2 linked regions of the Neodiprion lecontei genome follow. The protein of the gene in region 1 binds, or shares a complex with, the protein of each later gene. Links are inferred from orthologs where the notes say so. Each region holds a gene or a part of one and is shown in the gene's direction. Other genes may lie near its edges.

What was found.
Region 2: dynein regulatory complex subunit 7-like (region 1) and dynein regulatory complex protein 8-like share a complex: the UniProt entries of both Homo sapiens proteins name them as parts of the nexin-dynein regulatory complex. The link is inferred for Neodiprion lecontei from reciprocal best matches to the Homo sapiens genes DRC7 and DRC8.

Annotation. Positions count from the first base shown.
Region 1 is NC_060266.1:422,751-427,634, forward strand, and holds the start of dynein regulatory complex subunit 7-like, read left to right. Parts: upstream 1-1,860; 5' UTR 1,861-1,866; coding exon 1,867-1,878; intron 1,879-4,884. UniProt on the Homo sapiens protein: Component of the nexin-dynein regulatory complex (N-DRC) a key regulator of ciliary/flagellar motility which maintains the alignment and integrity of the distal axoneme and regulates microtubule sliding in motile axonemes.
Region 2 is NC_060266.1:25,923,902-25,927,280, forward strand, and holds dynein regulatory complex protein 8-like, read left to right. Parts: upstream 1-1,646; 5' UTR 1,647-1,683; coding exon 1,684-1,762; intron 1,763-1,952; coding exon 1,953-2,060; intron 2,061-2,160; coding exon 2,161-2,281; intron 2,282-2,378; coding exon 2,379-2,589; intron 2,590-2,696; coding exon 2,697-2,819; downstream 2,820-3,379. Other genes in the region: heterogeneous nuclear ribonucleoprotein U-like protein 1, read right to left, coding at 1-750, 1,049-1,181; delta(3,5)-Delta(2,4)-dienoyl-CoA isomerase, mitochondrial, read right to left, coding at 3,153-3,254. UniProt on the Homo sapiens protein: Component of the nexin-dynein regulatory complex (N-DRC), a key regulator of ciliary/flagellar motility which maintains the alignment and integrity of the distal axoneme and regulates microtubule sliding in motile axonemes.

The DNA of each region.
Region 1 (4,884 bases):
TTAAACGGCATACGCGGGCAAGCGAACGGTTTCCGATAATAGGTTCGCTCGATTAGGCGAAGGAAAAAAAAAATACTAACGTACTATGACGATACGGCTATTTTTTCAACTTTCCCAATTCAGAACCATAAACGCGACGAAGGTAAGTAAGTATAGCTCCTCTAGTCTACATTGTACACTATACGCGTATACGCGTTCCTGTAGGATACATTGTAGAAAATTGCTTCTCTTCAACGAAGCGTATGCCTGATCGTATTATCGACTATATAACTTGATTTCGCCGTCGACTGATTGTGACTGACAAAATTTTGGCATCGATATAACCCATCACTTCGCTCCGGACAGTGTTTGCATATCACACCTTTGGACAGTTACACCGATATCCGGTTGATTTTAAATTAATGGATCCTACGTGTATTTAGATCTGCGAATAAAATTTGCATACACGTCGCGATTCTATCGCTGTCGAATTTCTCGCATGAAAATGCGTTTCATTTCAACAGTATGTAACATGGTACGTGTGGGTGCGGGCATTAAATACGAGCATCTGCGCGATTGTGTTCGTAAAGTGGCGAGGATCCGTCAATTTCTCATGTTATTCTTTACACTAGTGCTACGCTATTGTACGGAACGGACGTAATGACGATACGTAGTTGCGGATTCGAATATTTGCGTTAATGGATTGTCAAAGACTGCAGGCTTTCGATATCTCGCCGATCTACCCACACGTTTATAAATATATAACATGTGCGGTGTGTGCGCACTCGTCCTACGCACATACATACGCTGCTGCATAACTATACCTTCGTACAAACCATGTGCATACGGGGACGAGAACCACGGTAGTAAGGGGGAAGATAGGGGGGGGGGGCTACAGCCCAGCCAGCCGTCCTGGATGACAGACAGGATGCGAGGGTTCGCGATTCCGCGCGCCTTTCGGTGTGCCCGGCATTACGTGCTTCGGTGGCTCTGCCCGCGCTGCAGCTACGGCAGCGAGCGTCGGCGACGTCGTCGAGACATTTACCGGCGATCCGGCGACGATGACGCGACATTCCACCACTGCATACGAATTATGTACTACTTAACGTATTATATACCATATACGTTATATCATGTATATCTGCATATATAACCGATATATAGTATATACATACGTGTATATGAGCCGGAGACCTAGGCTCGGCGAAGAACGTACACCTACGGTATTGAATTCTGACCGCTTCAAGGCCACCCGTGTCGCGTGCTTCGCGGGTCAAATAAATGGTAGCAGAGCCCTGTAAAACGGTCGTAATCAAACACCGTGGCTGTACGTACGTACGCGTTAACGTACAACGCGCACGTTGTACATATGCTCGCGCAAAGATGCGAGAGCCTTTGTGAGATCGGGAAGCAGAGGCAACAGCTGCGACACTTGGTTCACTCGCGAGACCCGCATGATGCACCGTCGTCGCCGCGATGTATCCTGCAGGCTCTAAAAGCCGCAGAGACCCGACGGTCTTACCCACGTAGCATATAGCCGCATATACCTCCTCTTTCCTTCACCCCCAACCTCTCTCTTTCTCTCTCTCTCTCTCTCTCTCTCTCTCTCTCTCTCTCTCTCTCTCTCTCTTTCTCTTTCTATGTATACATATACCATTCGCACGAAATTTTCATGGTCAAAACCCACCCGCGCGGTCCTTCGGGGCTGCAGTAAACGGTTCCGCGTATTCCTACTGCTTCTAAGTCGCTAAGGTATAGGATGTACGGATAAGGTATATTAGGTAGTAGGTAGTAGGTAGTCGGGTACAGGCCGCAATATTCAACGGTCAATTCTATTTTAAGCTTAGTTGGGTGTGCGGCGGGCCAAGCATGTAGCTTCGGTACGCAATGCTGAAGTCGGTGAATGTCTCCATCTCTATCCTCCCGCTCATTTTCCATGTTCACCACACCTTCGATCCTTACCGGAGTATAAAGCATTGCTAAAGCAGCGCGGACGGATGGATACGATCTATCATCAGACATTCGAAGTAGATTCAGAACAATGTAAAGGAATAATCATTAGCTTGGTTGTTATCTTGGAAATGCAGGTCAAATTTTTTGAAACAAAATTTTAATGTTCACCTTCCGGCCCGAATGGGGTCCTTCCCGGAACGAATTATTTTGTCGAAATGTGTTCAATAAAGGAGTAATAAACAAGAGTTTACTTACATATCGTTAAGGCCAACAGGCCATTTCAGGCAATAATCATTATTGTACGCTGCAAGATACATTCGATCGCTAATTATGCGACCCGGCGAATGTTTGCCGAGCTTTGGTCCGTACCGGGACACGCTCTTGACCGATGAAAATCTATGCAAGAGAAAAATTTGTTGCTCTACAAATCATCCGCTCCATATTCACGGCCGAAAAGCTATTATTAAATGAAATCTATTGATAATGTGTGGTACGGTGCTTAGGCTCCGATTCCAATCAGTCGGTAGAGAGGGGAACGCGCAAGTTGTATCGCGTCCGGCCGTGTCGCATGCGTGCGTACGTACATAGGTACATCGTAATTGCATACGTCACATGATGCCCTGCTTAGCAGTGGTGTATTATTTTCGGCTACGTAAACTCGCGGTGTACTTCCTTACACGCGCGCTGCAGTTGTGTACAATCGGTGCGTCGGCGCTCCGGACCAACCCCAACGTGTAGACGAGAATGAGAGAAAGAGACAGCGAGTGAGAGAGAGAGAGAGAGAGAGAGAGAGAGAGAGAGAGAGAGAGAGAGATGTACAGTGGCAGTGAGTCTTGGCGCGAAACGTGAATTTGAATTTTGTAACGGAAATTCAATATTTTCCGCATGGGTTTGAGCATCGGCGTACCTCCTGCGTCATCATCAGCCGATTGACTGTCCTGTATGCGTAGTCGAACGTAAAGATGGTTAATTCCCGAATCAATCGATGATTATGAGATACGCATAACCTGATGGAAATTTGTATAATTGTGACGCATGTGTGCTCAGCACGAGGGGACGATAAGACATTCTTCGCAATCCATAGTCACACACGGATCTTCTCGATAATACGACATCTCTAAGTATGCATATAGTTGTGTGACAAACGAGAAATGGGTTACACGGCGGCGTGATACACAACGTAGTACGCTACGGTAGTTCCTAGGCATGCCGTGCGTGCAAGCGCGTATCGGTACGCCCATGGAGCAATGCGTAGGAATTTGCGGCTCTTGGAAGGTTCGTGTTTACTTTTGCAGAGATAAAAGGAGACCCTTAACCCTGCGGGTGACGGACGAGCCGACGGTCTTGCGGGCACGACGAGCCGGCGGGCGGATTATCGGACGGACCGACGGATCGTCAGACAAAAGGACAGGCCCAGGAGGCGACGGGAGGACGAAGGGTGGTCGCGGACAGGCTGGCAGGCTGGCAGGCAGGCGGGCGGGCGGGCAGGCAGGCATGGCAGGCAGGCAAGCAGGCAGGCTGGCAACAGGAAGCTCGCGATGCGTGACTCACCGCGAGCCAGCCGAACAACGTAGAGAACTAAACCGCGCGCGATCGCTCGCGTTCTCTCCGCGTGTTCGTTTCTTCGTACGGTACCCCCGTCAACCTGGGAATATCGTACGAACGTACGCGTGCATGTACGCAACCGTGGATGCCCATACATACTTAGGGTCTTCCCGGCCGCGGAGGGAATATAGTATATCGCGAGCGATTCGAGGTTGCCGCCGAGGCGTTTATTGGCGGCTGCTCCTGCGTCTATACGCACACGCGCGCACACGCATACTTGCGTTGTACGTACGCACCTTACGTACCTATGGCATAGACTTATTTGTCTGATCAGATTCGCGCGAGGCCGCGGTGAGGCGGTTTAAATCCGACTTGCGCGCACGACGGAGTCGCGCGACCAAATTGCGAGGTGGACGGCGATCGGGCAAAAACTGCGTCGAGGTGAGGACGGAGGGTAGAGGGGGCCGACCTTCCCGTCCGTCTCGCGAGAAGACCCGCGACCTCGCCATCAAGTAATCAACGCAACGGCACGCGGTCTCGACGCCCATGCTCCCCCTCATTGTACATATACACACTTTATCTATCTATAGTCGTATATGAATTGCAGGGATCGTAAATACGCGTTATAAGTCTGTACCTACGTGTCTACGTACATTTACGTGTACGTCCATACCTACATAATATATGTATTAACATTATATGCGGGTCATACGTTGTATTTATCGGTACCGCGTATGCGCGTCGACGTGTGATGAGAAAGAGCGGATCTAAGCAGCCACCTTAACAAAATCACGGCAAAGTACAGTAGTTTTCCAATCGTTTGCGTCGATTTAAACGTTCAGAGTTAGATTACCATCTAATCGGTGTACTGTGTTTACGCTATCAATTATCAATTTCACCTTCTTCCGTAAATGGTTCCCCTTTAGCTAACCCCTCACTTTTTATCCAAGAGAGAGAGAGAGAGAGAGAGAGAGAGAGAGAGAGAGAGAGAGAGAGAGAGAGAGAGAGAGAGAGAGAGAGAGAGAGAGAGAGAGAGAGAGAGAGAGAGAGAGAGAGAGAGAGAGAGAGAGAGAGGTTCGTTTAGACCCACTCTGCCCTACGCCGCGTACATACAAGGCATGAAAAAACACCGAGTTTGATCCAAGGCAACGTATGTATGGTACATTATACCTACCTATATATACACTCGAGGCGCAAATAGGGAATATAGTTGAAGAGAATATCGCGCGAGTGTAGAGCTAGCGAGAGGAGACGCTGCTTCTCTCACCTCGGGGCAAAATTTGTGCGCGTTCCAACGCGACCGAGTGAATTTAGGGTGGGCACATCTATACATGGGTGTGTGTGTGTGTGTGCGTGTGTGTGTACCGTCGACTAATAACAAGGGCGGCGCGAGGGGGCGGCCGGGGG
Region 2 (3,379 bases), about 26 Mb from region 1:
TCGATTCTTCTTCATTGTTCATTTCATCATCTTTAGCCATTTCTTCCTTGACAGGATCAAGATTCTCATCATTTTGGTTTGCAGATTCAACTGGTTCAAGTTTTTCTAGTGGTTCGGAGCTATGTGAAACTTTGGTTTCTGGAGGCGTTTCCTCAACAAATTCTTCTTGTGGCTGCTGTTCCATTACGGTAGTCGAATGCTCTTCTGTTTTTTCAGGCACATTCACTTGTTGTTCTGTAGCGGTTTTCGTGAAATCAGATTGTACTTCAAATTGTGAAACAGGTTCTTCCATTTGCTGCGGACTCTCCTCCACACTTGCGAGAACGGATTCGACATGTTCTTCAGGCTGCGGCTCTATCTTCTCAGGGCTAACTGTATGTGATTCTTTCACTGGTGATCTTGTGGAGGGATCTGTAATATTTTCAGGCGTTGCAACTCGAGGAGGGACCTCAGGTTCGCGCGCATCTGGCTCGGGAGCTGGTTCCTCAGGTACAGGGGAAGGCTTCCTCTGTTCTTCCGGTGGTGGAGCTTTGGCTGGAGAAGGCGATTGTTTCGCCCTCGCAGCTGCTCTCGAAGGTGTTTTGGAAGGGCTGGTAGCTGAAGCGCTGCGAGCAGATCGCCCCCCGGGTGTTTTAGCGGTTGGTGAGGGTTTTGCAGGTTCCGGCTCTGGCGACTGCTCGTGTGGTTGTGCCTCCCTGGTATCCACACCTACCTCATCGTTCGACTCAGGGATCGTCGTTTCTTCGACTTCTAAATGAATGAAAAGTAACAAATAACACTGGAGCATACATAATTGAATTTGAGATTGTTGCGTTTCCTGATAATAAGTAAAATGGAAATCAGATGCATAAAAAATCACGGCGTCCTGAGGTAAGGAAGACAGGTTGGAAATAGGTTGGGATATCGGGGTGTTCCAATCGAGGAGTAAACAGTTTTCCGGCGCCAGTGACTAGACTGTATTAGACGCCGTGTTTGGACGCAATTTAAGCGGGAAACTACTGGGATAAGCAGTAACGCCTAGTGAGCGGTAAGCCGAATGTTTTCTTACGGTCTTCGGCTTCTTCGTCCTCCAAAGCCTTGCGGAGTCGCTCGACGAGGACAGCTTTATTTCCTTTGGTATCGAGACCGCGATGAGAGAGCTCTGCCCGCAGCTCGACCACTTTCAGCTTCGCGGGATCCATGGCGATGGATTTATTTATTTTACAAACAACCGCACAATATTTACTCGATCGAAAATGCTTTCAGGAATGAGCCATACACGCGACGGTGACCCGCGCTGCGCTCGCAATATGGCGGCGACATTGCAAACAATACGCGGAGTGATACGGCATATCCGATTGGCTCGTCGGACGCGAATTCGAAACGACGCCATTGCGACAGTCAATCAAACTTACTCTTTCATTTGACATATACCGACGAAAAGCGATCCGATTGGCCAAAGTAGGGATGTTTCGGGCGGCGGTAATTATGAACTGGCTTACAGCACACCCCGTGCAATTTTTTTTTTAGTTAATCTTCACACCCTAAATGTTCGTTCAGTTGTCGATGATGACATCCGCGGGATAAGAGCGCGAAAAAATACGTAATGAAATGAATTCTTTTCGCGATATCTTCTTTCCGTAATACACACACCATCGCGGTAACTCGCAGTAACGGTCTTAGGGGTGATTTTATTTGGTCAATATGGCGCAAGAACGAAATAGCGAGGTACGCCGCAGAAGTTCAGTAATGAAACGGGGATTGTCTTTATCAAGTTCGGAGGGTATCTTCTGTTCTTAAAGCTTAATTTTTTATCCCTTTGCATTAGCGTTCACATAATCGCATCGTCGGTCACGATTTTAGATTATGTTTTACGCTGATGCAATTCTTCTAACAGTCATTTCTGGTTATCGCACCTAAATCTAAATTTAACATTCAGAGTGGTGAATAACACAAGCTTATTTCACTAAAAGGGCCGAATCTATTGGAAAAACTGATACACAATGCATTTGACGTCTTTGACACTGCCAAAATCCAAGAAGTGGATGTCAGAGACTTGGGAACAATGATACGATCGCTAGGTAAGCACTAAAAGGGGAATACTCTTCAAACTAGAATGTAGCAAGTCTGAAACTGTCCTTCCTTGCATTTTTGACTGAAATTTATTTGCCTGGGTTACAGGATGTGTTATGACTGAGGCAGAATTGCAGGAAATTCAAGTTCAGTTGGAGGATGTGGAAAATAATTCCGTTTCACAATCCAGATTTGTAGAATATATGACTAAAACCATTAACGAACACAAGTGAGTCTGACTCTCTCCGCATACGTTGATCCAAGTATCATTGTCAGCAAGTAAGAGTCATGAATACCAAGTAGCAATTATGGAAAATTATCCTCAGATTAAAGCCAGCAGAACCTGAGGAATTATTGAAAGCATTCCAGCTATTTGATCCTGAAAACCACGGTTATATTATGAGAGATGATTTGGCAAAAGCACTGATGGAACTGGGAGAGCCTTTTACTCAAGATGAAGTAAACGAGATGATGTTTGTAGCTTGTGACCCCGCAACGAATAGAATCAACTATGAACACTTTATCAATCTGCTTATTGTGAGTATAGCTCGAGATTCAAAACATAATCCATGTAAAAGATCAGATTCAACGATTCTGTCCTTCTACCCGTTACATACAGAATTTCTGGTTTTTTCCCTGCATAGTTAAAATATCCGGATGATACCAATCCTTATAAAGTTGCCGATAAAATTGAGGCTGATCGGCTTGCGGCCATGCCTAAGAAACGAGGTTTGGGCAGCCTTATTGATGCCTCGGTACCTCATTGACACTGTCAAAATTATGAACAAAAGAAAATTAAACATAGTTTGTCCGTGAAATTCTCAAGTACATACAATATTACTATTTTTATAGTCACTGTGTAATAGCTAGACTATAATTACATTCTCAATGTACTTTTTGAGTATTGAAATCGATTTATTACCAAAAATAATTGATGTCCAATTGTAAGACTGATACTGCGATTTACGGATATGCAGTGATAAAAATATTGGCTATTAAACAGTCAAGTTCCCTAATTTATCTTTGTTTACATTGGTCATAGTTACAGAAAAACAGGTAGTCGGAACCTGATTTCGCTGACAAATAGTGGTCTCTATCCTTCACAGTTTGGAGAACACAGGCGCTTCCCCACTCTTGCTCACCTGTGCCATGACAGAGTTAGCAAGATCCTCACTTTGCAACATTACTTGATTGTACATGAGCTGAAAGCAGAAACCAAAATTACTAACAATAATTATAACTATCATTAATAACGATCATTAAGTACTCAGTTACTCAAATTCGAATCTTTGCAACTATGTTAATCCTGTAATTTTCGCTTATTTCT